Lonchura striata: one gene and its partners. The protein of the gene in region 3 purifies or fractionates together with the protein of the main gene of each other region. This does not show direct contact. Links are inferred from orthologs where the notes say so. Each region holds a gene or a part of one and is shown on either strand. Other genes may lie near its edges. The genes, in order: TUBGCP3, TUBGCP4, mitotic-spindle organizing protein 2B and TUBGCP2.

The links.
Region 1: the proteins of mitotic-spindle organizing protein 2B (region 3) and TUBGCP3 purify together in Homo sapiens (affinity purification with mass spectrometry; 3 studies listed by BioGRID and IntAct, counting the BioPlex papers as one, with this or other methods). This does not show direct contact. The link is inferred for Lonchura striata from reciprocal best matches to the Homo sapiens genes MZT2B and TUBGCP3.
Region 2: the proteins of mitotic-spindle organizing protein 2B (region 3) and TUBGCP4 purify together in Homo sapiens (affinity purification with mass spectrometry; 3 studies listed by BioGRID and IntAct, counting the BioPlex papers as one, with this or other methods). This does not show direct contact. The link is inferred for Lonchura striata from reciprocal best matches to the Homo sapiens genes MZT2B and TUBGCP4.
Region 4: the proteins of mitotic-spindle organizing protein 2B (region 3) and TUBGCP2 purify together in Homo sapiens (affinity purification with mass spectrometry; 5 studies listed by BioGRID and IntAct, counting the BioPlex papers as one, with this or other methods). This does not show direct contact. The link is inferred for Lonchura striata from reciprocal best matches to the Homo sapiens genes MZT2B and TUBGCP2.

Annotation. Positions count from the first base shown.
Region 1 is NC_134604.1:91,911,266-91,918,426, reverse strand, and holds the start of TUBGCP3 (gamma-tubulin complex component 3), read right to left. Parts: upstream 3,015-7,161; 5' UTR 2,839-3,014; coding exon 2,763-2,838; intron 1-2,762. UniProt on the Homo sapiens protein: Component of the gamma-tubulin ring complex (gTuRC) which mediates microtubule nucleation.
Region 2 is NC_134613.1:24,617,801-24,625,384, forward strand, and holds the start of TUBGCP4 (gamma-tubulin complex component 4), read right to left. Parts: upstream 3,002-7,584; 5' UTR 2,961-3,001; coding exon 2,883-2,960; intron 2,766-2,882; coding exon 2,637-2,765; intron 2,060-2,636; coding exon 1,937-2,059; intron 1,551-1,936; coding exon 1,497-1,550; intron 1,044-1,496; coding exon 987-1,043; intron 434-986; coding exon 354-433; intron 1-353. Other genes in the region: ras GTPase-activating-like protein IQGAP1, read left to right, coding at 5,933-5,984. UniProt on the Homo sapiens protein: Component of the gamma-tubulin ring complex (gTuRC) which mediates microtubule nucleation.
Region 3 is NC_134613.1:7,856,734-7,864,002, forward strand, and holds the start of mitotic-spindle organizing protein 2B, read left to right. Parts: upstream 1-4,252; 5' UTR 4,253-4,285; coding exon 4,286-4,431; intron 4,432-4,520; coding exon 4,521-4,657; intron 4,658-7,269. UniProt on the Homo sapiens protein: Required for the recruitment and the assembly of the gamma-tubulin ring complex (gTuRC) at the centrosome.
Region 4 is NC_134609.1:37,381,242-37,388,630, forward strand, and holds the start of TUBGCP2 (gamma-tubulin complex component 2), read right to left. Parts: upstream 3,007-7,389; 5' UTR 2,963-3,006; intron 1,230-2,962; 5' UTR 1,096-1,229; coding exon 946-1,095; intron 237-945; coding exon 108-236; intron 1-107. Other genes in the region: ZNF511 (zinc finger protein 511), read left to right, coding at 3,012-3,236, 3,335-3,408, 4,263-4,464, 4,560-4,684, 4,979-5,164, 5,682-5,751. UniProt on the Homo sapiens protein: Component of the gamma-tubulin ring complex (gTuRC) which mediates microtubule nucleation.

The DNA of each region.
Region 1 (7,161 bases), on a different chromosome or scaffold from region 3:
CTCTGTTTAACTTTTTAAAGTATCACAGACCTAGATAACACTAAGAAACAAGCTTAGATTGAGTTTAGATTAGACTCCAAATCTAAGAAAAGAGTAATGAAGAAAACAGGACTAGACATTATAGAAATAATGGCCTTGAAAAGACATCCACTAAAGCAATATAATCTATTTTCCTTTTTTTTTTTTTTAATTTGTTTTTGGAAATAGACCTAGTAATTAGCACAATAATTTGAGATTTCTGGTAGCAAATGTTTGAAATACTCTTAAACAAGAACATATATTAATTGTATCAGAAAAAAGTTTCTGAAAAATGTTAAAGGCAAGAAAGAGCTTTAAAAAAAAAAGCTAGAAGAGCACCTTAGAACTGTAGTCTGATGTAAAGTATCCTTTAAAATACAGTTAAAACACCTGCTAAAAGAAAGATGTGGTTACAGAAGAACACAAGAGGCATTAAACCATTAAGAAACTACTGCTGATTTGGTGGACATGGAAAACTAGAAATTTGCCACATTCTGATAAAATCTTATAACAGGAATTCCTGATACAGAAATACTATAGATTCTGGGGAAAAAAATACTGTCTTGCAGAAGACTTAAAAATGCAATGGAGAAGGAAAAGATTTTGAAAAACAAAACATAGCAATCAACAGCTATTGATATTAGAATTATTCACGTTGAAAAAGACCCTTAATATCGTAGAGTTACACAGAGTGTTTTCTGTGAAGGAGTCCCCTACTCAACAGGTCAGTGAAGACAAAGTTTCCAATTTCCTACCAACTTTACCAAGGTTCTCAGATGAATCACAAGATGGTTTGGACTGGATGGGACTTTCAAAGACCATCTAGTCCACTTTCCCTGACATGGGTAGGGACATCTTTCACTTGATCAGGTTGCTCAAAGCCCCATTCAATCTGGCCTTGAACATTTCCAAGGATGGGATTCACAAAGCCTCTGGGCAACCTGTTCCAGTGCCTCACAACCCCAACTGTAAAAACTTTATTCTCTGTGTCCAATCTAAACATACCCTATAACTGTTTAAAGCCATTGCCCCTTGTTCTGTCACTTTAGGCCTTGGTTAAACATGTCTTTCTTATAAGCCCTCTCTAAGCACCGCAAGGCCACAGTGACATCTCTGAGCAGAGCCTTCTCCAGGATCAACAGCCCGAACTCTCTCAGATCTGCTTTGTAGGAGAGGTTCTCCATTCCTCTCACCACTTCCATGGCACTCCTCTGGACCTGCTCTAATACATCTACATCCTTTCAGAACTGGGGGCCCCAGAGCTGAATACAGTACTGCAGATGGGGTTTCACAAAAGCAGAGCAGTGAGGGGAGGATCACTGCTCTCTACCTGCTGTCCATGCTTCTTTTTAAGGAGCTCAGAATATGCTGACCAGGATACACATTACTGCCTCATGTCCAATTTTTCATCCACTCCCCACATCCTTCCCTGCAGGACTGCCCTCAATCCACTTATTCCCCATTCTCAACAGATATTGGGGATTGCCTCAACTCACGGGCATAAGCTTGAGGTTTACACAGGTGTGCTCCTCAAGGCTGTCAAGGTCTTTCTGCATGGCACTACCTTCCCTCAGCACATCACCTGCACTGCTCAGCTTGGTGTCATGTGCAAACCTTCCAAAGGCACTCTCAAGCCCACTGTCTATGTTATTAATAAGATATTGATCATGATTAATCCCAATACAGACCTCTGAGGGACACCACTTGCTACTGATCTTCATTCCGACATTGACACAGTGACTACAACTCCTTGGATGTGGCCATGCTACCAGTTTCAGTTCCTCATTCACTAAACAGTTCATCCATTAAGCCTATAGCTCTCCAACTGAGAGATAACGACGGGGTGTGAGACCATGCCATGCTGTCTGCAACAGATGGGAACAAAGTCTGAGAAACAGACAATATATGTATCTGCATCTTGTTACACACTTTCTAGAGTCCTAAACTAGCAATAATCCACATGTAGGCCATGTTCAAGTAATTTATTACAACAGGTAATGCTCAAAAGTCTTAGTTACTGTCCTGGAAATATCTAAAGGGATTTTTCAGAAGAAAGGGGCATGGAGAGAGAAAAGAATAAGAGACCTGATGGACACTACTAATAAGGGAGAAAGCCATCTCTCATACAAGAAAAAAGATGCAATAAAAGCTTCTGCATGAGTTTATCTAGCGAGCCACGCTGATAAACAGAGCAATTTAAAAAGAAGACTCCGCAGATGCACGCCTTCCTTTCCACCCCTCCGACTGCTTACTAAAAACAGTCTTCGCCTTAACTGCAAGGGAGAAACTTAGGCAAACAGACAAGAGATTCATTGCCCTGCGGGAGACTCACAGCAGCATCAAGACACGAGGACCTGTAGCGGACCTGGCGCACGTCTATGGCTCCTCTCGAGCAGGCACCGGCGGGAGGCGGAGGTTCCTCAACCCGAACACGGAGCCCCCTTTCGCCCAAACCCCCGGCACGGGTGCCCCGCTCCCCGAGGAGGACAGCGCCTTCAGCAGCCGGCCAAAGGCTCCGGGGGAGCCGGAGGAGGGCACGGAGCCGTCTCCAGCCGCCTCCCGCCGCAGGGCTCCGGCTCGCAGGGCCGCTGCCGTGCCCGGCCCCTCGGCATTTCCCGGGCTGTCACCCCCGGGCCGGGAGGTGACGCTCCCTGCCGAGGGGCCCGGCACCTCTCCAGCCCTGCCGGGGCAGCCCCCGCGGGCTCCGAGCGCTGCCGCCGGGCGATGGCGGGGGACGCCGTTACCTTCGCTCTTGCCCAGGATGCGGCAGCAGAGGCTCTGCAGCAGAACGTTGGGGGATTTTTGGTCCGGAGTCGCCATCGCCGCGCGGGATGCAGGAGCGGCGGCAGGGCCGGAGCAGGGCGGGTTGGCGGAGGGAAGGAGGGGCCGGGACGCGCGGCGGCAGCGCAGGGACCGGGCGGCACCTCCCGCTCCCGCCTAGGGCGCCATTTTCACGGGACCCGCCGAAAGCCGCAGCCGCGGCCGCACGCCCACAATGCCCCGCGCGGCGGTTCCGGGGCGGGCCCGCGCCGCCTCCGCGCCTGGGCGCCGGCCCGGGTGCCGGCAGCCGCCCGCCCTCACAGCGCGCGGTCTGCGGCGCGGTCTGCGGCGGGGCCGGCGTGCCGGCGTGCCCGAGTGCCGGCGTGCCCGAGTGCCGGCGTGCCGGAGTGCCGGAGTGCCGGCGTGCCGGAGTGCCCGAGTGCCGGAGTGCCCGAGTGCCGGCGTGCCCGAGTGCCGGCGTGCCCGAGTGCCGGAGTGCCGGAGTGCCCCAGTGCCGGCGTGCCCGAGTGCCGGCGTGCCCGAGTGCCGGCGTGCCGGAGTGCCCGAGTGCCGGAGTGCCCGAGTGCCGGAGTGCCCGAGTGCCGGAGTGCCCGAGTGCCCGAGTGCCGGAGTGCCCGAGTGCCGGAGTGCCCGAGTGCCCGAGTGCCGGAGTGCCGGAGTGCCCGAGTGCCGGCGTGCCCGAGTGCCGGAGTGCCCGAGTGCCCGAGTGCCGGAGTGCCCGAGTGCCCGAGTGCCGGAGTGCCCGAGTGCCGGCGTGCCCGAGTGCCCGAGTGCCGGAGTGCCCGAGTGCCGGAGTGCCCGAGTGCCCGAGTGCCGGAGTGCCCGAGTGCCGGAGTGCCCGAGTGCCCGAGTGCCCGAGTGCCGGAGTGCCGGAGTGCCGGCGTGCCCGAGTGCCGGAGTGCCCGAGTGCCGGAGTGCCCGAGTGCCCGAGTGCCGGAGTGCCCGAGTGCCGGAGTGCCCGAGTGCCGGCCTTCTCCGGCCACCGCGGGCAGGAGCGAAAAGCCTTGATGGTGGGCTGCCAGAGGCCTTCGGATGTGGGGTTGCGGAACGTAGACACGGATGCAGAGTAGTCCTCTTGCCAAAAGAGGTTCTTTAACCCGGTGTGCTAGAGGCTAATACACACAGAGTCGAGGTATTTGATTTATTTACAGTTCTGCACTGAAAGGGGTCCTGGGTAGCAAATTCGCAAAGCCCAACCATCAAAAGCTTTTTTTACTATCATCCTAACTATCAAAATATTTTACTATTTATCCATTTTAGTAAACAAAGGAATTAATGTTTCTTGGCTACAAGTTACGTAGTTCTGTTCTTAATTAGTATTCTATATTCTATATTCATGGTTCCATTGCTTCTCATCCTTATTAGTCCACATTTTCAGTCTTCTTTTGAGAGTCGGTGGCTGTGAGTCAGGGGTCACAATCTCGTCCTGCCAGAATTACCTTTTACCCAGTCGGAGCTGATTTCAGCACAGTTGCTGAGTTTGCTTTGTTATTTACTTCTTGATCTTGGAAGTTCTGCTAGATGTCCTTGTGACATCTCAATTCTGCATTCTTTGTGTGCACCGTCAGTGGTATATTCTTCTTCCCAAGTTTGGTTAACCTCCCCCGGGTCTGAGGTCATTGAAACATATCGAGCCCTAACCTTAACAAAGCAATTCTTCCAACAACTAATTTGTCTTTCTAACACCTGGACATTGCTTACAGCTTCTTAGTTGCTCTCTGTTTCACAGATTAAATCTCCTTTTCTTGTTGTTGTTTAGGCTTGAAAGTATACAAAGATCAAACAGCAGAGAACACCCTTTCTTCAGAAATATTTACATATTCCACATTTTGCAACAATCCCACAATAGCCATAAGTGCTACATACAGACATCCTCACAAACATAACATAAAAGCGCTGAAAAGGAACATAGCCAGGGAAAAGAAAAATTCTAAAGTATAAACTGAGGGAATGACAGGAACAACCATTAGATTGTTGAAACTCAATTCTTTTTTGTTATTTACCCATTAAATTTTGCCCAATTACATCACTACCTTATATTTTACATTCAAAGCCGGCTAACTACACAAATGGTTTAAGATGAAGATATTCACCTTGTTACGAATTTTTACTAGAGATTTCCCAACTAAATTTGAAGATCTCACAGGTATCTAAGGGTTTTGCCCCCACACTCCATAGAAGTAATTGAACATGGTGAATGAATTACTTATGGGCAGGGCAGGTTCACTTACTCCCCCCAGAGAACAGGCTGGGGTGGCTGCATTTCTGTGATTTGCTGCCTTGGGGATCGAGGCTCATTTGTGGCTTTTCCACACAAAGTAATTACAAATCAGGGTGGGTCTGGAAAAATGTGTGAGGATCCTAGACCCACGTGTCCATGTCCTGCTGTGCTGTGCAGCTGGGTGTCCTCAGTCCCTGTGGAGGGCCTGGGCTCTGCCTGCTGGGCAGCACTGGGACCAGGGACAGCACGCTCACAGCTGGTCTGCTCTGCTCCCTGTGACCTGCTCCTCAGGCTTGTCACCCCTAGCACAGACACTGATGTTACCAGGTGTCTGAGTTCTATCTCTTCAGTAAATTCATGCTGTGTCCAGCCCAAAAGGCATACTTAGGAAGTAATTATTACCCTTGTGCTGCTGGAATCCTGTGTAACCTGTGACTGGAAATGCTGCAGCAGCAGCAGCCAGGTGGGCTTGGTGCACTGCTGGCTGTGAAATCATTCCTGCTGTGCAACGCGTGGCTTTCTGACAGCTCCCCTTGGCTTCACTGTTTCCATAGCCACAATTTTGTGTGTATGCTTTCTGCAGGCATGTAGACATGGCCTTTCATTATGGGAACATTACAGATGTAAACATCAGCTCATTGCTAGCATGACTGCTAGAAACAAATCACAGTGGCAAGCCAAGAACTGAAACACATTGAGGATGTATGGCAATTTGTTGCTTGGCATATACTAGTAGAAACCTTCATAGTCTAATTACTCACACTAGAACTCTTCAGTTCTTAGTGATACATTCTTTGCATTTTTTAAAGAAGTAAAATAGGACCCAAAATGAATAAAGTTACCAGAACTTTACCCTATGTAAATATGAATTGTAAGCTTAATTTTCAATAATTCTGAAGTAAAGGCTTCAAAGATGGTATAAGCTTGTAAGCTTTCTTTGTTTTTTTTTTTTTTTGGTACTGAACAGCAGAAGAGTCTCTGTTCCATTTTTCTGCCCAAAGCACACGCAGTTGTGCTACAAAGGGCTGGTGACTCACCACTGCTGCTAGTCACTTCAGATTTTAGATTCCACCGTGGAAGGTGTTAATCTAGCAAGCAGCAAATATGGTTCTCACATGAGGCAAAAGAAATAACCTCGGCAATTATATCTGGAAGTGGTATTCCTTTATAAAACCTTAACATTCCAAGGGAATCCAGTCACTGACAAATATCCTGCTACTGCTTTTAAGTGGATATTACTTTCTGGTCACACTAGTTCATTTTAACTAAAGCAATTGTGTCACTGGTCTGAAATCAGAACACATTACAGAGCAGCATGATGAGAAAATGCCATTGAAATGGGTGTGCTCATTGCCTCCTGCAAGCAGCAGTAAAAACACAAACCCAAGCTTTTCAACTTCAACACAACCACATGCTATGTTATGTCACACTATGAAGTAGTGTGATAGCCAGCCATTCTGTTACATTACTGAGAATGTATTCTCTCATTTCTAGTCTCTTTTTCCTAAGAAATGAGGTTTAATGCAGTTATTCTGTATGTCAGTGCCTCCTCATAACTGCTGGATCTCATCACCAATTTTAAAGAAATTCAGCAGAGGCATAGAGTTTTTAAGGATATAAGTAAAATTGAATGGAATTCAGCAGCTGAGAGTACCAAGGCTTAAGTCAGTCCCCCTTTGAAAAAGAAAGGTATGGGGAACTTACTTCTCCCTGCTGTTTGCCCTTAGCAAAGCAGCTGATTGGTGTGTACACACCCTGGACAGATAGACACACATCCTAGCTCCAATCCACCTACAGTACCAGCTCTGCTTGCCCAGCTTGGTGGATGGATGATTTAAGAACTGAAAGTGGAAGGGACTGGAACTCTGAACATAATGCGGAAAATGGTCAGAAAGAGACAAGACGAATGGAAAATAGAAGGAAACTAAATTTGATTAGTGTCATTCCTCACAGACCTCCTTGTTTGTTTTGTAATAGAAAGAATGAATCCTAAAATCCTGTTTAGAAATGCTAATTCTGATAGAGCAGGTTGCTAGCACATGAAATTCATTGTGGTTTTATGAACTCTGGTACAGCTATGACTGCTTAAATCAGCTTAAAAAAATCACATTACCAATGAGAAAAAGAAATATAAACTACTT
Region 2 (7,584 bases), about 17 Mb from region 3:
TATACCAGAGGTGTAAGTCTGCAATGGCTTTTGTTTCTACTCAAAACAGGACGTTTTAAGTAGTTTGACTTTCTCCACAAGGACATACAAACATCACAACACTCACACATTCACATTTATCATTTTGAAAGATCAAAGATCAGTGATATGCAGAATAGCCTTAGATATGGAGAAAGACTTCATTCTCACCACAAACCTGCTTTAGATAAATAATGGGGATGGTGACAGTCTTCCCCTGCATGGTACTCCTAATTTTATACCATGCTGTTTTGCACGTACTGTTCCAACAAGTAAGAAACACTTTGACACTAACTTCAGAAGAATGAAGTAATAGTTTTACTGGATCTACATACTTTTCAAGAGCACTGCGAACAGGAGGCAGCCCCCCACAGCTGTGTTTGTGGACTGTCTCCAATATCTGGCACCCATGAATCTGCAGAAAGAAAAGGTTAGACCAGGTCTGTTATTTGGATCTGTACTGACCTTTTTATACATTTAAACATTACACTTTCAGCTAACAAAAAAATGCCTTCACAAACTGAACAAGTCTTACTGAAAGAAAGATGTAACATGCTGGTGTAGTGATGAAAAAGACCTTCTATATGTGGCTCTACACTCAAGCTTCTCTCAATACTTTCCCTTAAAAAATGTAAGCATCTCTGGATTCTCGAAACATTAGCCTCTGCCTTTTTTATTTCCAGCAATGGCCAGAGAAAACAGACTCAGAAAATAAAGATTCCCACTACCAGCATCCTGTCCTATAAAATTCAAGACATCAAAGATTATGGGATAAGAGAAAAAAAATCAAATACAATGTAAATGAATTTGTAAAATAATCTCAGTACTTACAGTAGAGCTAGTAATAGGGCACCCATTACTGAAACGACATTATTTTCTACTTTCAGAAATATGGGATGGGGGCAGAAATTACTTCATCAGTTAAAGAGAAAACCTGTTAAGAGAAACTAACTGCAAGTTTACTGTACCTTCTGAGTTTTGATCTGTTCCACCATGACCATCACAGAGGGGAAGAGTAACTGAAACTGCAGAACAAGTGAAATATTGATGTAGGTTGTTATGTAAGGAAGAGAGAAAAAAACTGTACTTGAGTAACTGTGGACAGCAGCTGAACACAATAATTTAATAAAACTATTACCTGTCTTTCCTCACAAATTAGAAACATGACATGCAAATTTCTAGGAAGTATGTCTTCCCTTCACTGGACCAAGATGCACAAAGTTACTATATTCCAGCAGTAGTTAAGGCTAAACACAGTCAGTGAGGAATGTGTGAGGGTCAAGGTGGAGTACCTTAGTTTTGTGCTGAAGTGCAGGTGATCCTCTGAGTACGATTAAGGGACTACAGATGTAGAGACATTAGATAGAAATGACATGACATGATGGAACAAGCCTCGTTTATCCCACCCACTTTCTTATTAGACTCAATGAGGGATGACAACAAGCAAAGAACACTACTTCTTTAATAACACGACATACCTGGTCCAAGGAGTAATTAACATGTGAGATGGAAAGGTGTGGGTCAGCCAGAAACTATAAAGATAAAGCAATTAATGAAGATTAATTATCACAACCACTAAATGGTGACGCTACCCAAGGTATGACAGCTACTAGTCTAGCAGAGATTAATCAAAACCTCTAAAATTGAAAACAGAAGCCACAGTAGTCTGAGACAGCACTGGGCTAACAGAGATGGAGCCCTTACAGAATTGAAGGTAGAGAGGATAACACTTAATAGAATGAAAAGTAATTTACAATGGCATCTCACAGGAATAATTTGGAAGGCATTCCTAACGTGGAAAGGAAAATACCTTGTTTCATCTTAGAAACTACTACTAACATATTAATTGCAGAAATTACAAGTTTCCACAATCTGCCAGCAGCACTACAGCCTCTTGTTCTGTATCTCTCTCCTTTACCTCTTGTTCCAGGTCAAGTAGTGCCTGTCGATAAGGCTGCAGCACTGAATCAAGACCTGTGCAGAAGGCTCTCAAATAAATGCCATGCAATCCACTCTGGTTTTGCTGAGATGGATGGTGATCCTGAAACCAAACAATAAAATCTGCCTCAGCATACTCGTGCAAGTCTGAAGAGTAATGTAGTATCTGTGCAGTGCCACAGCAGTTGTCAGTGCTTTAAACCTGTTGAAATGCACCTTAGCTCACCACAAAGTGATCAGAAAAACAAATACAACCTTTTCACAATGACAGTTACTCGAGCAGACTGATGTTTAGTTCTTTTGTGGACCTCTGAAAGTGCTGGGAGCCTTTGGTACCAGTGCTTCTTTTCACTTAAGTGTGCCTCTTGGATCTCAAGGCTCTTCGCACATCATGAGGAGATAGTCATGAGCATCCCGCTCAATTGACAAACCCTGGCCAGTCTGCTGTGGTCAGAAATTATTACAAGACGTCCCCAATAATAAGATTTTACATTTGATTCATTATTCTTCATTGCTCTCTACCCTCCCTTACAAGCATCGCGAAGAGCTTTCTGGAGCTCTGCTCGGTGGTGGTGCGAGCGCGGGTATGGGCCACGGACCACTGCTGTGTCCTGGGCAGCTTGGCCTTACTGGCACCTGCCGCGCTCTTCCCGGGCAATACCTCGGCCCAGTGACCCCACCTGCTGCTGTACATGTCCCGTGTACTGCTCCACGAATTCGGCGAAGCGGATGTAGTCGGTGCCGAGGCGGCAGAGCCGGTTAAGGACGCTGGTCTCGCTGGGGTGCAGAAACGGCAGCTCCTGAGACACCTGGAAGAGAAAACAGCGGTGAGGAACGAATGGGCGGACGGACGAGCCGCGCAGGCCGGGGGGTGGGGGGCAGGGGGCAGGCGGGGCGGGGTGGGCTTTGCCGGGGCCGTGCCACACCTGGAGGCCGCCGCGCTTGCTCCAGGTGAAGGCCGCCCCCGGGTAGCCGCTGAGGGCCAGCAGCAGCTCGTGGATCATCCTGCGGCGCGGCGCCGCGCGGGCTGCCGGGAGCGGCGGGGCCGCCGGGAGCGCCGGGCGGGGCTGCGGCGTGCAGCGCCGCCGAGGCTCTGATGGCCACCGTCCGTCCCGGACAGCAGAGCTGCGCTGCCCTCTACGATACGCCTCACGAGGTTTCTTTATCGCTTTCTCAGGTTATTTGTCAGTGTTTTATCAGCGCCAGTTTTACCTTTCTCCATTTATTATGTACTGCTTTCCTTCACTTCCTGTCGTAATCCGGGTAGACTTTTATTCAAAACTGTCTAGTTTGAAAACTATGAAGTCATTTAATAAAGTGTTTTTTAGCAGCCTCTTTTTCATTTACCCCCCCTATTTTTGACAGTTTTTTCCTCTATGTACATGTTTACTCTTCTTCATTTAGAAGAAATTGGTGTTTAGTCTTAAGGGTCATCTAATTTGTATTTGTTTCAGCTTGCCACAATAAGGTCTGAAGGGTAGGAAGAATATGGGCATGTACTAGCTATAGCTATACAGCTTTATGTGTAAATTGGAAGCCCCAACATTGTTGTTTATCATATATGAGGAGTATAATAAAACTATTGTCTTTCTGTTGACAAAACTTCTAGCATCATAATAAAGACTGAGGAGTTGGCCTAGACATTTGTTATGCATCCTTGACATAAATATCACAGTATACAATTGGTCTGGAAACCTCTGCAAAAGAACAGATAACAGTAGTTTATTTAAAGGATTTCGGTGCTCATTTTCTCTGGGAAACCTAGTGATTAGTCATTAAAGCAAAAATCTTAAAAGAATTTTTTGGTTGCTCAAATTTTGAAATGAGAGAAAAATAGGTATCTCTATGATATTTGCAGGGCCATCTGACTAGTGCTCATTAAACACTAGGGGGGAAAAAGACAAGGAACAGGATAGGCAATAAATTAGGCACACAGATACACAACTTTTAATAAAAACATTTTGCAAAGTCGATAACAAGCACCAGAAATCTTAAATCAGGGGAGCTGTTATAGGTACCATTGAGTCCAGCTTTGAAGAGGTTCAGAAAGGTTCTTTGATGACATGTAATAATCGTGTTTTATTTTTCTTATCAGAATGAGATGTTTTTGAGGGAGGTTTGTGGCACTGTGCAAAAATGTTACGAGATTTTTAGGGGGAACAAAATGAATTCTGCACGCCACATTCTACATATAAACATTATTTTAAATGTCTTCTCATTGCATAACTTACAAGTGGCTACATGTGAAGTAATGCAAATGTTAATAAATAGAATCCTAACTGTATTATAAAACCTTTTGTTTTGTAATTTATGTCTGGCATTTCCCAATGTAGTTATTTCTGTAACCATTGAATTATGTCTTCCTTTAATCAATTCAGTTCTCTAAGATTGTTGAGTCCAACCAATGATCGAATGCCACTTTGTCAGCTAGATCAAAGCACTAAGTGCCACATCCAATCTTTCCTCTAACACTTACAGGATGATGTCTCCACCACGTTCCTTGGCAGCCCATTCCAATATCTCACCACCCCTCCTGTGAAGAAATTCTTCCTAATGTCCAAGCTAAACCTGCCCTGGCACAGCTTTAGGCTGTGTCTTCTTGTCCTGTTCCATGTTACCTGTGTATATATAGTAAGTAAATATACTTTTTGATGGGCTCATGGAATCACTGATTTTGGAAGTGACCTCTAGAAGTCTCCAGTCCCACCTTGTTTTCTCAATACCAGGTGAACTCAAGCAGGTTTGTCCAGGACTATGCCTAGTTAGGCTTGAATTTTCTCCAAGGACAGAGACTCCATAACTTCTCTAGGTAACTTGTTCCAGTGTTGAGTCACCTTCAGAATACAACTATTTTTTATTCTATTGAAATGGGACTTTTTATATTTTTCAGTCCATTGCCCACTGCTTCTTGGCATGTTCTCTCGTGCTCTCCTCATATGTCAGATGCTCCAAGCCCTTAATCAATTTCACTGTAGTTGTTCCATTATGTCCATGTCTTCCTTGTACTGAGGGAGCTGAAACTGAATCCACATCTGGGAAGATGAGAATGATAGATTGACTCCTTTGCCTGCTGGGGATGCTTTTCCTAACAGAGGCTATTGGTTTTCCAAATTACTTAATGTGTACTTAGGTAGTAAATGTATGCCCTAGCAGTGAAATTCATGTGACTAATTAAAATGGACACCTGGTGACTGACACTGTCAGTACTCTGACCCTTGAACAAGAAATAGGCAAAGCAACAGTAATATGTACTGAGGGGAAGGAAGTTTTCAGGGCATGATTCTCCTGTGGCAGTGCTGCTGGATGTTGCTATTGTTTAGGGGCTTCCACTGCTTCCACTTGTGGTTGACATTTCATATGAGTTACCATGGTTTGGTCAGTAGAGCTGTTTATGCTACATCCAGCAAGGCCAGGTTTTGCTACTGTGAAGGGCTATGCAGCTGAGGAACCTGGCAGGGCAAGAGGGCTTAGGCGAAGCAGCATGTGGGAGGCAGCCGGGCTTTGGAGGCTGAGCTGTACTGCACACAGTGGGGCGCACGTGGGCTGCGCACACATGGCTGGGCTGAGAGGGTAAAATGTGGGTCATGACCAGGTTGACCTGGGCTGTGTCCCGCGTATGCTGGCAGAGTTTAGGTGAGAGCTTAGCTGGGTGTTAGTTATGAGGCTAACAGACAGATTCAGAGCCAGGGCGCTGGCCCTGTGAGAGGGAGAGGGACCCCGGGGAGAGACAAGACGGCCAAGCCGTGTCCTTCAGGTTTACGGGACGGGCCGAGCTAGATTGGGGCCTGGGTCCGGCCGGAACGGGACTGCGCAACTCATCCTTTCCAGCAGCGCCGAAGGTGGCGGGGACGCCTCGGGTGCGGCCGGGGCGGGGAGAGAGAGCGCGGCGGGGCGACTCCTCCCCCGCCACACCCGGTGCGGCAGGAAGAGGAACAGCCGCGCCCAGCTCCCGCTAGCCCCAGCCCAGCGCAGCGCCATGGCGGCGGAGGACGTGGACGGGCTGGCCGTGTCCCGGCCCCACTATGGCTGTAAGTATCGGGATCCCGGGGTGAGGGAATCCGCGTGGCCGCCAAGCGACGCCCAGTCCGAGCCGTCCGTGCTTTCCAGCGTTCAGCGCTGTGAGGGGAGGCTGGGCCACCGCAGGCATGGGGGGAGCCGCGGGCTCCGGGACTGCCCCTCGGGCACGGTGTGCCCCGCCGGCTCTCCTGGCGGGCCCTGTCGAGCTGCGCCTCCCGCGAGATGAGCGCCGTGCCGCGCGGGACCTTGTCTAAGCTCGACAGTCCTCCTGAGGGTTGGAGACGAGTGCTGGGAGAAGGCAGTGGATGAGCAGCAACGCGACGTCCCATGACTGTGCGGCCGTCGTCTGCCGCGGGCGAGCCTTGCACCTCGCCCAAGATGTCCGCCGCGGGCGGGGTGGGGCGGGGGCGGCCCTGCCTTCCGCCTTCCCGCCGATTTTGGCGACCACACCCGATTTTCTGGGCGAAACACCGCTCCCATTTGACACCTTCATTGCCTTGTCGTGGGCTTGCTATGGAGAGGGAGGCTTTGGATCTTAGCGTCCGATGTGCGGGCTCACCTACGCTACTATACCGCGTCAAAAATGACCAACGGCGGAGGAAAACGTGGTGCTGTGGAGGGGCGATGTTGTAAGCGACAGTCGGTCCGACCTGGTCTTTTAACATTCCAGGGATGGGGCTGCCACAGCTTCTCTGCCTCACTATCTTCTTGGTTCAAGAATTTCTTCCTGTCATCTGCTCTAAATCTCTCCACTTCTAGTTTTAAACTGTTCCCCTTTGTCCTATCAGCATTTCCCTCTTCCTTTTATAAGCTCCCTTTTAAGTACAGAGAGACCACAGAGAAAGCCCTCTCCAGGCTGAGCAACCCGTACTGTCTCAGCCTGCCTCTGTGGGAGAGGTGTTCCAGGCCCCGGAGCATCTTTGTTGCCCACCTCTGGACGTGCTCTAGCAGGTTTTGTGCTGAAGATGCCAGTGTTCCTGCTGGGGTCTCACAAGTGCACCATAGATTGTTGTTGAAATTATCTTAGGTATAAGCTAACCTTTGCTTTATTAACAGTATGAAACATTTCCTATTTGTTAAATTGGTCCATGATACCTAAAAAAGTTGACATGAGATGTATTTAGCTGTAAGTATGGGAAGAGAAGACTTTTTTACTGAGACTTTGAACACACAAAATCTAGAAGATTTAGGCATATTACCCCTATGTAGGTCTTTAGCGTGATCCAAAGATGGCATGTAGGTTGGGAATCTGAATGATTCCCTTCCATGTAGGGAGTGTGAGTAGCATTTCTACCTTGCTTTAGAGGTGGACTATAAAGATATAGAGGGGGTTATATGATGTTAATATGTATTTGTGTCCTTCCTTAATCTTTTGCTATCAAAATTGGAGGATTGGTGAGGGGACAAGTGGTCACTGATGTGCTTTTGAGGAAGACAAAGGCAAAGGTAGAAGAAAATAAGAAAATAAAAGATTGTTTCTAAGAAGTTGTAAGAGGGATGCTGTGAATTTGAGAAATCAGGAAGAAGGAAGCTGGCAAATTTATGTGACAAGGATAAGGAAATTGAGTGTTTTCTCTTGCTAGTAAAGAACAAGTAATCAGATCCTTAGTT
Region 3 (7,269 bases):
TTGTGGGACTGAGTTAAACCCTCACCGTGTTATCCATGCCCCCTTCCTGCCCCTCTGGCCTGGAGAAGTTCCTTGAAGCCCAAGCCTAGTGATTAGTTTGAAATCCCAGCCCTAGCAGGGATGCTTAAGTTACTTGGGTATCCCTGAGAATGCTGTGTGCTGTGTTTTGCCTCCAACCACAGCAATCTACAGGAGGATCAGATAACAGCTCAGCTGCCAAAGTTTAGAGCAAAGGAGAGAAATTTGCTCCTGATGCCTTCAGGCTGCTAGTGGAATGTTCAGGGTAGCACATACATAGCACACATGTGCAGTGGCACAGACATGTCCCAGCTGAATGCCTACTCTAATCTTTACCTAAAGACCAAATATTTGACCCAAAAGGACAAGTTTCAACTTCTGACTTGGAGAATTCTGTCACTCAGTCCCTTCAGAATGGTTCCCAACATCCTTCCAAACCACTTACTTGCTCCTGGTGTCATGTTTGGAAATTGTCCTAAGATGTCTCTGCTTGGATGCCTCCACCTAATTTTGAGTCTACACCTCTGAGTAGTTCTGTCATTTTTCATGCACAGTTTTGCAGGCCTGTCTTCAAACCACCATGCTCAGGCTCATAGAAGGGGAAATTGTTTAAGCTAAAAGGAACACTGATTTAGATTAGATACAAGAAGTATTTTACAGTGTGGGTGGTAAAACCCTGAGGCAGGTTGCTCAGAGAGGTGGTGGAAGTCCTATGTGTGGAAACGTTCAAGGCCAGGTTGGACAGGGCTTGGAGCAACCTGATCGAAGTAAAGATGTCCCTGCTCACAATAGGACGTTGGACTAGGTGACCTTCTGACCCAAACCTAGGATTCCATGATCTTCCAGGTGAGACCATCCTAGTGCCTTGCTAGTGGTGTGGCTGTGTCCCTCCCCAAAACATCCCAGGCATGATGATTCTACACTACCAGCCCTACACTTCTTGCTGTTAACATCAGTGGGGGCATCCCAAAACTGAGGTGGGGAGCAGTGCTGGAAGCTGCTCAGAGACATCCCTTTAACATAGCCCAGCGTTTTACTTGGTTATCTGGTTCCTCGTGTTAAATCCATACCCATGACTTCAGCATTGGAAACTGCATCATACTGGGTGCAAATCAAACTTCTTCCTTAAATGTAACCAGGCTAAATTATCATAAAAGCGTAGAATCATAAAATGGTTTGGGTTGGAGGACACCTTAAAGCTCATCTTGTTCCAGCCCTCTCTCATGGGCAGGGACACATTCTACTACAATGCTCTGCATCACCTTGTCAAAGTTAATTATCAAAGATAAATCATTACCTTATCCTGAAACAATGTATCTGTGATAAATTCTGTTTGCATTTGCTTTTCTATCTGGGAGCTGGTTTCCTTCAAAAAAACCTCAGAAAGATAGAAAAGTCCAGATACATTTGAATCCCTCTTTTCCATTTTCTGGATGTGGTAGGCACATTTGCTGCATTTGTTTGAGATTTGAACCATATCCAGGTTTTCTTAAGCCTGGCCCTTCTTTCATAGGGAGGTGACCTTGCTCCTTCCCTCCCTGGTGTCATGCTGACCCTCATCTCATGCACTGACAGTGTGTCCTCAGCCAGTGATTGTACCTCAGTCATTCTGTCCTTCCTGTCCCACTCAGCTTGATGACCTGCACAACCACCAGTCTTTCTCCCGCTGCAGTTACCTCTGCAAGGCACAGCCTGGCCCTGGTGTGCTCCCCTGGCCGTGCACAGCGTGTCCTGGTGCCCAGGGAAGGCTCAGCATCGCTTTGCCTCCATTTAGGGCCATGTCTGAGCAACCCGCAGTTCTTTCTGGTAACTCACTCCAAGGATTGCAGGCTCTCTGCTGCTCCTAGCTCTCTTTTCCTTCTGCTCATGCAGGCTGTTGGAGCCTCCTTTGCCCCCATCTGCTCAGCCCCTCTCTTAAACATGTTCTGCAAGGGCTGAGATGCAGCCTGGCATCAGCATCCCGGGCTGTCCTGGCTCATCCTGCTCTGGAAACCATGGACTGAGTGGTGGTTGGGCTTTAAAGTCCTGCCAGAGGCAATGGAGAGTGTCTGGTGGGCTGCAAGACCCAGGGTCCTCCTCAGTGTCATTTAAGCCAGAGTCCCCTGTGCCACCCAGAGTGCAGCTCCAGTAACTGAGGCCTCCTCAGGGGAGTTTCCCAAGGACTTCCTCTACTGACCTGTTGGACTGGGAGAGCAAAAGGGAGAAACTGAGATAACGGAGCCCCCAGGAATGCTTCAGAGAAAACCTTGAAGTCCAGAGGAGAAGGTTGTCACTCCACGTTGCAGACTAGGCCCATCCAGGCTTACACCGAGATGCGGGGAAGGTGTGACACAGCTGTGACCTATGAAGGAAGCATGTGAGGGACAGAGTCTCCTGTCCTTTGCCCTGGGAAGGTCTCCAGCCCTGTGCTGGTGACCACAGCACACAGGGAGAGCTGCCAGCTGGAACAGATGGACAGGGAAGGAGGGAGGTACATGCTGAAACTTCTCCAGTTTGTTGTACAGAAGGCAGTTCCTGGTTTTCTCTCTCTCTTTTTTTTTTTTTTTTTGGTTTTGGTTTTGTTGGGGGTTTTTTTTTGTTTTTTGTTTGTTTGTTTTTGTTTTGTTTTGTTTTGTTCCAAGAGAAGGGCTGAGCTGAAAAGCATCTCACTTTCTTCTGCTGTGAGGTGTAGCTGAGCTCTCACATGCCACAGGCTGAGGGAGGTTGTCCATGTGGGACCAAGTCTGGAGACTGCATCACCCACACAATGAGGGCGCTTGGCATTTGCACTCGACTACCAGCCTGTCCCAAAGGAAGTGGCACATCATATACCAGAACAGGCAAGAGATCAAGCACAGGGGTGTTTTTCAGTCCCCCTGTATCACAGACTCTACACTCCCTGCTCAGCTGAGGGTCCCTCTGAAAGTCCAGCTGTTGGGACAACCTTAGGCTCTGTGGCTTCAGCATTGGCAACCCCACAGACAGTGCAGTCACTCATGCTGGAGCAGCTGCTCCCACTCAAAACACAGCAATAATTGTTCTTGCTGGGCTGGTCCTGCTTTGGGCCATAAAGAGCAAGATCCTTCTATCATTATCCATGTCATTCCTGTCTTGGCTTCTGCCATAAATGTCTGTTTGTCAGCCTGGCCATCAAGTCACAAGGTTGGGGCACCCTGACAGACTCACAGGTTGCTTGGGATGTGGAGTGGGAGCATCTGTCTGCTGTGGCTTGGTGTAGGGATGGGATGGGGTCTGTCATGGCAATGCTGGGGGGACACAGTGACCCCTCTGCTCTGTTCCCCATTAACAGCGCAGCTGCAGGGCCTGTGTGTGCTGGGCTGGACCATCCTTCCCTGATGGCAACAGATCATTTCCATTTAGATAGGAGGGATTTCAATCTCAGTTTGCCAGCTCTTCGCCACGGTGCGACTCAAGACCCAAATTTCCTGCTTTTTCCCGCATGATGCCCAGATGCTCTCTGGGCTCAGGGCCTGCAGCGTGTTCAAGGGAGCTGGCGCCCGGCCCAGGGGACAGCTGGGGTGAGGACGTGGGCTCTGTAGCTCCGCGGGTCCCCATGGCACCTCCGCACCCCAAACTGCTGCACTGCCCTTCGTGCTCAGCGGATCCCGCTGGGTTCTGCCCTGCCCTGGAGCGGAGGCGCCTGCGGGGAGACCGCGTGGGGGGCAGCGGGGCGGATACGGGGCACTGCACAGCGGGCACCGGGCACTGCACACCGTACACCTCACACCGCACGGTGCACACCTCACCCCTCTCACCTCACAACTCACGCCGCACACCGCACGTCTCTCCTCACACACCGCACCCCTCTCACCTCACGCCGTCACCCCGCGGGCGCTGCGGCCGCTCCAGGCAGGGGCCCGCGGCCGGGGGCGCGGCTGGAGCGCTGCTGCCACCTGCCGGCCGCGCCAGGAGCAACAGGCCCGGAGCGGCGGGGACTGAGCCACTGCCGAACACTGAGGGGGCGCGGCCCGGTGTGAGGGGCGTGTCCCGGTGTGAGGGGGCGTGTCCCGGTGTGAGGGGGCGCGGCCCGGTGTGAGGGGCGTGTCCCGGTGTGAGGGGGCGTGTCCCGGTGTGAGGGGGCGCGGCCCGGTGTGAGGGGCGTGGCCCGGTGTGAGGGGGCGTGGCCCGGTGTGAGGGGGCGTGTCCCGGTGTGAGGGGGCGTGTCCCGGTGTGAGGGGGCGTGTCCCGGTGTGAGGGGCGTGGCCCGTTGCGAGGGGGCGCGGCCCGGTGTGACGGGCGGGGCCGCCAGGGGCGGGACCGCGCAGCCATGTCGGAGGGACCGGCGACAATGGCGGCCCCGGCGCCGATGGCGGAGACGCGGCTGCGGCGGAAGCAGCTGCTGAGCGCGGAGGAGGCGGAGCTGTTCGAACTGGCGCAGGCGGCGGGCAGCGGGCTGGACCCGGAGGTGTTCCGGTGAGCGGTGGGGGCGCCGCCGCGGGAGCCGGCGGTGACGCCGGATCCCCGTCTGACAGGCGCTCCCGCTGCCGGTGTTCCCCTCGCAGGGTGTTGCTGGACCTGCTCCGCATGAACGTGGCGCCGCTCGCCGTGTTCCAGGTGCTGAAGTCGATGTGTGCCGGGCAGCGGCTCCCGCCCGCCGCCGAGAGCGGCCCCGCCGCGCCGATGCCCGCCGACAGCCGAGGTACGGGGCGGGGCGGGCGGGGCCCTTCCCCGGGGCGGGCCCGCCCCGAGCGCGGCCGGAGCCCGCCGGCCGCCGGCCCCGCGCTGCGCCCGCCGCGGCCCGGGGCGCGCCCGCCGCTGTCCCGCGCCCGGGCCGCCGCGGGAAGGGGCCCGCGGGCCGCCCGGCCCGGCCCCGGCGGCGCCCCGGCCCGGGGGGCCCGCTCCGTGTGAGCCCAAGCCCGGGGGGCTCGCTCCGTGCGAGCCCAAGCCCGGGGGGCTCGCTCCGTGCGAGCCCCGGCCCGGGGGGCCCGCTCCGTGCGAGCCCCGGCCCGGGGAGCCCGCTCCGTGCGAGCCCCGGCCCGGGGGGCCCGCTCCGTGCGAGCCCCGGCCCGGGGGGCCCGCTCCGTGTGAGCCCAAGCCCGGGGGGCCCGCTCCGTGCGAGCCCAAGCCCGGGGGGCCCGCTCCGTGTGAGCCCCGGCCCGGGGGGCCCGCTCCGTGCGAGCCCCGGCCCGGGGAGCCCGCTCCGTGCGAGCCCCGGCCCGGGGGGCCCGCTCCGTGCGAGCCCCGGCCCGGGGGGCCCGCTCCGTGCGAGCCCCGGCCCGGGGAGCCCGCTCCGTGTGAGCCCAAGCCCGGGGGGCCCGCTCCGTGTGAGCCCAAGCCCGGGGAGCCCGCTCCGTGTGAGCCCCGGCCCGGGGGGCCCGCTCCGTGCGAGCCCAAGCCCGGGGAGCCCGCTCCGTGCGAGCCCCGGCCCGGCCCCAGCCCCGTCTGTCTTAGTGCTCGTGGGTTTTAGGCAGCGTGGGAGCTCTGGGGAGGCTGCTGCAGTACTTGTGCTGCGTTTTGTAGCCTCCTGGCTCTGCTCGCCAAGCCCTTAACAGGAGAAAACCACTTTAATCTACAGTAATATTCAGTACTGCTTTGTTTGTATATAACTTTTAAAAAGTTAAAAGTTTTCGGGCTTGTTTGTATATGACTTTTGAAAAGTTAAAGTTTCCGGGCCATGAGGAATCCCTGGAAAAGGAAGAGAGCTGTATTGCTTCCTTTACTCTATCCCCCCATGTTCGTGGTGGCTTCTAACACTCATCCAGCTGTTTCCATCCTCCAGCGATGGAATTTGTGTGGGGAGATGAAGTAGAAGGCTATGGGGGACTGTCAGATAAAGCAGTTACTGCTTTTGAATGCATTTATCTCTCCTTAATACTATAATGTCCGTGAACAGTAAAAACCATAGCCCTGAATTTGTGCCATATATATATATATATATATATATATATATATATATATATATATATAATTTTATTTTATTCATAACCAGTTCTAATAAAATTTCCATTTACTCCCTGAAGTGACTTTTTGCTCACCAACTCTGTGGATTACTTCCAAAAGGTTTAAAAATAAGTAACTAAAATAAGTCTGCTGTCACTAAGCCTGGATTCACAGTGGAAAAGTTTATTTCTCTTGTGCTCAAAAGTGTGTCAGACAGGGGCAGTGGTTGGTGGTTGGGCACGTTTATTCTCTTGGCTGTGCTTGCAAGTCATGTCGAAAGTGAAGTTGAGAGGGGGTTTAATTTGAAAAGCAGTCACTTTTGGGATAAAGGAGTTATGCCACAATCTGGTGCTTTTATAATGGCAAAGTTCAAGGTGAATCCCCTCTCTGAGCAGCTGAGGGGAACTCGGGAAGTTTGCTGAAGCTCAGGCAGAGTGTGTGGATAAAGTGTCCAGAGCTCCTTGGACTCGCCATGAACAGGTTTCCCTTTCTCAGGAGGTTCAGAATTCTCTGTAGAGGAGGTGGTTGTGCTGAAGAGAACAACCTCACATGTGACTGAGAAGTGACTCTGAATATGCACAGGGGCAAGAGAGGACAGACACCTGAGTACTATTTCCTAAACAAAATGGGAGAGGTGCAGCACTTGGATTTTTGTCAAGTGTGAAGCAGTGAGCTATTCTGGTACCCCATTAAGAGGAAATATCCCAAAAGAGCAGAGATTTTGAGCAAAGGATGCTGTTAAATTTTGCTCTGACTCCTCTGTTGCTGCCCCATCTGTTACAGGCTACTCTAACTGCGAAGGGAATGTTGGCGAGGTTTTTGTTCCTGTATGTCTGTAATGTGGAGCAGCTTTTGTTCTCTTATCTATGCTCTTTAAGGGGCACTTTCTGGACAAGTGAGGCTTTTCTTTTCCTAGCACTGAGCTACTGCTATGAGCTAATTTTAGCTAGTAGTGGGCTCGCTCAGGGTGTGAGACAGGCCAATGGCCACTTGATTTTTAATCAGCATTAAATTTCTTGAGAGGGAAAGCCAGAAGCCCTCAGGTAGAGTTGGTATGTGCTTAATTGTTGCCTTCTACTACCCTGCTGCAGGCATCTTCGAGAGGCTGAGACTGCAGGAGTTAGTAGTTGTCTTGAGAGCTTAATTTGGTGCTCTTTCTGCATCTTTAGTAGAGCATCTCCTGGTCTGACTCAGATTTCAGTTCTAATGTGTCCAGCCAGGCTTTTCTCTTTGTAGTATCCCTTTAACATGGACACGTTAATATCCTGGAGTTCTCTGGGACAAGCCCTTGAAACCAAAGGGAAAGTGTAGTGAGGTTCAGGGAAAGATGGTGTTGTTTGTGGTAAATATTTCTGGTATTAGTTTGGCTTT
Region 4 (7,389 bases), on a different chromosome or scaffold from region 3:
GTTATTTGTTGATTTTTACAGATTTCACTGAACTTTAATTCAAGCTGGGCTTGAAATCATTGCATTGTTGCAATTCTTCAACATTCAGTTCTAAACAAGGAACCAACCTCTTTGTCTTCAGTGAGCTTGGACAGCAGGTAAACTAAAGAATCCAGATGTCTAGTGTTTTTAGACTTCAGCTCATCATACTTCTTTAGAAAATCTTCAGGAGTTCGAGAAAACTCTGCTATTTTCACCTGTAAAACACCACGTTAATATTAAATGGAGTTACAATTAAAATGAAATGGAATTAGAGCAAACACGCAGCTCGGGCTACAAAGATGCCAAGTTTCAGACAGAGTTAGAAACTCCCTAGCACTTAGAGCTCGACTGGTGGCTTGCTTTTAAAAATGAAAACAAAAAGCAACCTTATAGCCATAAAAGCTATCTGAGTTATATAGCTATAGAAGAGTCTGGTCATGAGCACCAGGCTTCAATCTCTAATATTTGGGTGATATTCAGAAGAAAAAAGCCACATGTTAGTCATATAACTGCATTTTATACAATTTTCATTTCATCATGGAAGCAAGGAAAGGTTTGGGTGGGAATGTCAAGGTGATCTTGTTCCATCCTGTACCACGGGCAGGGACACTTTCCACTATCCCAGCTTGCTCCAAGCCCCATCCAGCCTGGCCTTGGACACTTCCAAGGATCCAGGGACACAGCTTCCCTGGGCATCCTCCCAGGAAACAACTCCTTCCCAATATGCCACAAAACAACCTCCTTGTTTGAATTTTCCCACACCCCAGTCCTAACAATCCTCTTCTCCCTCAAGGATTCCACCTCTTCCCACGCAGACCTCCCACTTCACACCCAGAACCGTGGCCCCAGACCCCACCAGAGATCTTTCTCCCTAGATGGACACCAACAGGACGAGCTGCTGTGCCCAGAAGAAGGGGGCAGGACCTTGGCACTGTGGGCAGAGACGTTGGTGGTGACGTAGGGCGTGCGGTTCTTCTGCAGCAGCTCGATGTAGACCTCGGCGCCCTCCCCGTCGTGCACCCGCAGCAGGCTCAGCAGCTCGTTCACGTCGTGGTGGATGCGGAACTCGCTCATGCTCCCAGCTCGGGCCACCAGCCCTGGGGACACGGCAACCAGGGGTTATTCCTGCTCCCAGGGGTTATTCCCGGCTCCCAGAGGTTATTCCCTGCCCCGCCAGGGAGATGCTTCTGGAACGTGGAGATGTTTGGCTGGGATAAAGGAGGAGGAAGCAAATCAAGCAGGGATACTCCTTGTATGGTTTGGGTTGAGAGGGACCTCAAAGCCCATCTCATTCTGATGCCTCAGGTTTAGCTTTTGTATTTTTCAGGTTCTCTGCTGCTTTAGTGTGTAGGTCTGGGCTTCACATTAAGGGATGGTGAGATCTCTGCACAGAGGAGGGAGACAAAACAATTCCTTCTCTAGCTGGAGACCAAGGACAAATGATTCAAATCTCAGGCCCAAGAGCACAAACAATGGTGAATTGAAGAGAAAAAAAGAAAAAAACCAAGAAGGATGGGACTTCATAACCTAAAGCTGGAATTGGACAATGAACTCCAATGTACAAATGGAGCAGAACTGATCAAAGTGAGAGCCCCTGTGAGCGCTTGTGCATTTTGGGACCATTTTGGTTCATCTTGGGTGCAGCCCTGGCTGGGCTCTGGTGCTGCCCAAGGTGGATCCACTGAAGAGATCCTTTTAATAAATCCCTGCTTTATTCTTTAACTCTGTCTGGCTCTGTTCTATGTCAGTCTTCTCAAGGCATCAGTGCCACCCCTGCTATGAGTAGGGACACCTTCCACTGTCCCAGGCTGCTCCAAGCCCCAGTGTCCAACCTGGCTTTGGGCACTGCCAGGGATCCAGGGGCAGCCACAGCTGCTCTGGGCTGCTGAAGGTGGGACAGCTCCAGCCAGGAAGTCTAAGACTGGGGGAGACTCTTAAATTGGGGCTGGCCAGCAGAGGATTTTTTCATTCAGAAGGAATGCGGGAAGGACTGCTTGGTGTCCTGACAAGCTGACCCCACTGCTGCTTCTGAAATCACCACAAAGCAGTTTTCCCCAAGTTTAGGGGTCCTCCTATTCCACTGCCCACTTTATTAAATTCACTCAAACCCTGGAGAATACCTAAATAACAACTTTAATACTGACACAGAGCCCTGAGATGAGCTCAGCAGGTCAGAGCCTAGTGCTAACACCACCCAGGCTGTGGGTCAATCCTGGAATGGGCCATTCACTTAAGAGCTGGACTTGATGATCCTTGTAGGTCCCTTCCAGCTCAGAAAATCCTGTGATTCTGTAAATCAGACGTAAGACCCTGAGCCAGGAACCATGGAGATAAATAAGAAGCTCCATGTGACACCTTGCAGAGATTGCATCAAGCAGATACACTCCATATCAAACACAAGGACACACTTCTGTTTTGCCAAGATCATGGAATCACTTCGGCTGGAAGGGATCCCTGCAAGCCGTGGTCCAACTCTCCACTCAAAGCTGACTCGAGTTAGAACAGGCTGCTGCAGCCCAAACTTAAATCTCTTTAAGGGCGCAGCTTCCCCAGCACCTGGGGCCGTGATCCCGCTGGGATTTCCCGCGGGCTGCCCAAGTGCCGGGATATGTGGAATAAATAAATAGACTCCACACCCTGGGGTAGTTATGAAGTGGGTGTGTACTGTCAGCGCCCGGCACAAGTGAGCTCGCTCTCCAAGACTTGTGCCCTGAGCTTTAGTCTGACCCAAACCTTTATTCCCAAAGGCAGGGAAGGAGGAGAAGCTGCGGGAGCTGGGCTGGACTCGGAGCGGCCTCCGAGGGCACCGCACCCGGCACAGCGGAGGGATCGCCACCGCCGGCACCCCCCGCACCAGCCCACCCTCCATACCCTGCTTGACCTTATCCCATTCTATTAAATAAATTTAATTCCGTTTAATTCAATTCGATCTCATCCCTACCTGCCCGCCCGGAAACGCCGCCGCTGGCGCCGGGAAGCGCGCCCCGCGCATGCGCGGCGGGCGGCGCGGGAGCCGCCTCAGCGCGCCCCGCGCAGGCGCACTGCGCTCCCCGCCCGCCATGCTGCCGCTGCCGCCGCGCCTCCGCCGCCTCCTCCGTGAGGGGCTCCCGCCGCTCCCGCGGGACCCCCCGGCCCCGCCGCCCGCTCCGCCCGCGCCGCCCTTCTCCTTCGCCCCCCGCCGCCTCCGCCTCGGCCCCCAGCACCCGCTCTTCGAGGTGAGGCGGCGCCGCGGGGCCGCTCCCGGCGCGGTTCCCCCCGGAGCTGCGTTCTGCAGCCCTGCCCACAACCACCGCCGCTCTCTGCTCCTCTCTAGGATGGGGACGTGCACAGGCATCTCTACCTGCAGGGCGTCCTCAGCAGCCTCCAGGAGGTGGCCGAGAGACCCAAGTGAGTGAGGCGGTCTCGTCTGAGCCCTCCCGTCATGGAATCAAGGAATGGTTTGGGTTGGAAGGGTCCTTAAAGATCATCTCGTTCCTCCCCCCTGCCATGGCAGGGACACCTTCCACTGTCTCAGGTGCTCCAAGCCCTGTGCAGCCTGGCCTTGGGCACTGCCAGGGATCCAGGGGCAGCCACAGCTGCTCTGGGCACCCTGTGCCAGGGCCTGCCCACCCTGCCAGGGAATTCTTCCACTGTCCCAGGCTGCTCCAAGCCCTGTGCAGCCTGGCCTTGGGCACTACCAGGGGTCCAGGCACAGCCACAGCTGCTCTGGGCTGCTGCAGCTGGCACAGCTCCAAGCAGGAAGGCCAAGCCTGGAGAAGAATCTTGGTCTTGCCAGACAGGAAGTACTTTTGAGTGCTGTGTGAGATTCACCTATGGATAACCCTTAAAAAAATCACTGGAGTTGTCATCCACAGCTGCAGCGTTTAGCTTAGACAGCTAATTTATTTATTAATGGCTTGTTTGTTCTTCACCGAAGTACCATTTAACAGGAGCCATAATGGTTAATAAGTTTCCAATGGCAAATAATTTTCCAGCTGCCAGCATCACCACGATCTTTGTTCCATTGCACCTGGCATTTAATTTTAAGTATTAGGCACAAAAAAATGCCACAAGTGTTGTGGCTGTAGGTGTGGGCCTAGTGGAAGGTGCCCCTGCCCATGGCAAGGGGTCGGAATCAGATGAGCTTTGTGGTCCAATCCAACCCAAGCCATCCTGGGTTTCTCTGATAAGTCATCTAGGGGGCATTTTTGTAGCTGAATTTAAAGCTTTAATTTCAGCTTAAAGTCCTGATTTCCCTGCAGGGTGTCCGAGTTCAGCTGCCACATCTCTGGCTGCAGCCAGGTGTTTGACACACTGGAGAGCTACGAGCACCACTACAACACCCTGCACAGGAATGTCTGCTCCTTCTGCAAGCGCTCCTTTCCCTCTGGGAATCTCCTGGATATCCACATCTTGGAGTGGCATGATTCCCTCTTCCAGATAATGGCTGAGAAGCAAAATATGGTGAGCTGCCATGCCCAGCCCTTGCCTCGTGCTTGGTATATGCTCGTTTTTTTTTCCAGTTATGTCTTTTTTCCTCTCTCCTCCCTGCCTTTCAGTACCAGTGCCTGGTGGAAGGCTGCCCAGAGAAGTTCAAGAGCAGCAAGGACAGGAAGGATCACTTGGTGACCGTGCACCTTTATCCTGCTGACTTTCGCTTTGACAGGCCCAAGAAGGTGAAAAGGTAACTGCAGAACTTTCCTCCTGTCCTGCAAGGAAAGTGTGAGGGAACTGGGATTGTTCAGCTCTGAGGTGACCTAAGTGTGGCCTTACAGTGGCTGAGGGAGCTACAGGAAACATGGAGAGAGACTCTTTACAAGGGAAATGGCTTCCCATTCCCAGAGGGCAGGGATAGATGGGATATTGGGAAGGAATCCATCCTAGATGCACTTGTTTCCTCATGAAGTACCTTTGACTTCCTTGGCTCTGGGCTCACATGGCAGCTCCTCAGCCAGGATGTAAAATTTTGTCTCTGCAGTGGCTCCAAGCACACAAGCTCTCCCATGGAGCAGGGCAGCAGCGTGCCCATGGATGTGAGCGTGGAGATGGCAGAGCAATTCCAAGTGAATGCCATGGAAACAGGGCCTGAGGAGAACATGGAGATCTCCCAGCCTGCAGCCAGCCCTGGCCCCTCGCTGCCAGAGAAACGCCTCTACAAATCCAGGTCAGTACTTTGGCCTCAGGGGCAAAATGGGCTGGGAGCACTCCATCTTATCAGCCCTTTGCAGCCTGCCTTGGGGTGTTGCTGTGCTGAGGATAAACCAGGCAGGAATCCCAAGAGTGCTTCCAAAGCCATTTTTGAAAGAAGGAAGTGTAAGGAGGAGCAGGACATGGGTACGCTGTGGGAGCTGTGTTTGTCTGCCCACCTGATCTCTTCCCAAGGTATTGCAGGATGTTGCTGCTGCTCTCCTGCTCCTCAACCACTGCAGCTACCCAGGTGTTATATTTAGTAACACCTTGTTGTAAAGAGCCCTCCAGGACAGGAATGTGCAGAGTACACTGGAATCCAACCAGTATTTCACCTGTTCTTTAAATTATTTGGTGATTTACATGTCCTGCTCCTCCAATTCCTTGCTCTTCCCAGTCTGGGAGCTTAAAATGCCCCACAGAGCATTAAGCATCCCAGCGAGCTTGTGAGGGCTGGGCTCCTAACATGGATTAAAGCCTGTCTCCCTTTCCAGGATCCCATCCACAATTTGCTTTGGACAAGGTGCCACCCGAGGATTTAAAGGACCACGGAAAAAGGTCTGAAGGTCGGTGCAGCAGATTTGTGCAAGATGAGCAGGCATGGAGCCAGTGCCACCAGGGATATTGCCAGTTCCCACTCCATGGAATGAACCACCCAAACCAGTTAAAGCTCTGCCAGCATTTGGGCACATGTTCCTGATGGCAAACAGAACTGGCAGCACCCAACTGAGTTAAGAGTCCTCAGGATTTGAGGAAAGGGAATCCAGAACGTGTGGTGAAGTGTTAAGGAAACTAGCCTGCAGCTGAGGCTGCATGGGACTGGGTGTTTTACTTTTTGCCTCTTGAGGGTAAAAAAATGGATTCAAGAAGTTACAAGATGCCAACGTGACTGTATGGAAGCTGGAATAACTGAGAAAAGAAAACGAGGAGAAAAAACCTCATTGGTCCTCAGTTCTGCCTTCCTCCATCTCACTGAAGTCTCCTCTGCACCCTGGAACCTGCTCTGAGAAGTTTGTCTGGGCCAGGAGAAGCATTTTCACTGGGAGTTCAAATAAAGTGTTTTCCAACCAGGTGAATAAATAAAAGAAATTTTTTACAAAATTGCTTCATAGACAATTTAAGTGCTTTTTTGAAGCCCAGGAGAGTCAGATGTGTGGAATGAACCTCCCTTCGTTTGCTGCAAATGGTGCCAAAATCAGGTTGGGATGGAGGTTATTTTCCCTCTTGCCTTTCCTTTCCTTTGTAATTTCATGTTCCTGGAAAAAACTGGAAACAGAGCCACTGATCTTGGGGTCCTGGTGAATCCTGACACTCAAAAATTGTGCACAAGGGGAAAAAAAGAGGTTTCTGGAACAATGTTTATCCAAGAAGCTTAGGATCTATAATTTTAATTTTTTTTCCCTTCCCCCTCTCTGTGAGGAATAGAAGATCAAAGGGGCTTTGAAAAATCCTTGCAAATGGGAGCAGGGAATGATGTTTACGGAGATGCAGGAGATTTCCCAGTAAGTTTTAAAAAGCTTTGCTATGTTTAAAACTCATCCAGCTTGTCCAGCCCTAATCCCTGCTCCGTGGGCTCTGGAGAGTGCTGTCTCCAGCAAGCAAACCCTGCAGCCACACAACTGCCCAGGGACATCTCTCAGCAGGGACTAAAAAGTCACTTCCCAACACTAAAGCCCCGAATGAGGCATTTTTCCCCACACTGGGATATCTGGGAACAAGCAGCAGGCCCCACGCTACTGGAGATGCCTGCAGGCTTTGGCGTGTGGTGGTACAAAGGTTGGGCAGCAGCCCAGTCTGCTCTTCCTTACTGTGTTCAGGAGTTCTGACCTGGGAACTCCTTTTTCCCAGAGCCCAGGGTCCTCGAGTGCCCACCCTTGCTGTTGGGAAACAAATTGTAGTTACTGATTGTCTCTTAGGCCACCAGCTTTTCCCAGCGTCCATGGGCAACAAAGTATTTCCCAGCTGGCCAGTGGCTGTCAAAAATCCGTATTTCAAGCCAAAACTTAAATTTTCCATCTCTCCAGAGATTGTGCACTGTTAGGAGGACATGGACCTGCCTGCCCTGGAGAGCCCAGGGGTGCACAGGGGTGCCATGTCCCTGAGCAGCGGCACTGGATCCACCCAGGGCCGGGAGGGACATGTGGGATGGGCGGCAGCGGCACTGGATCCACCCAGGGCCGGGAGGGACATGTGGGATGGGCG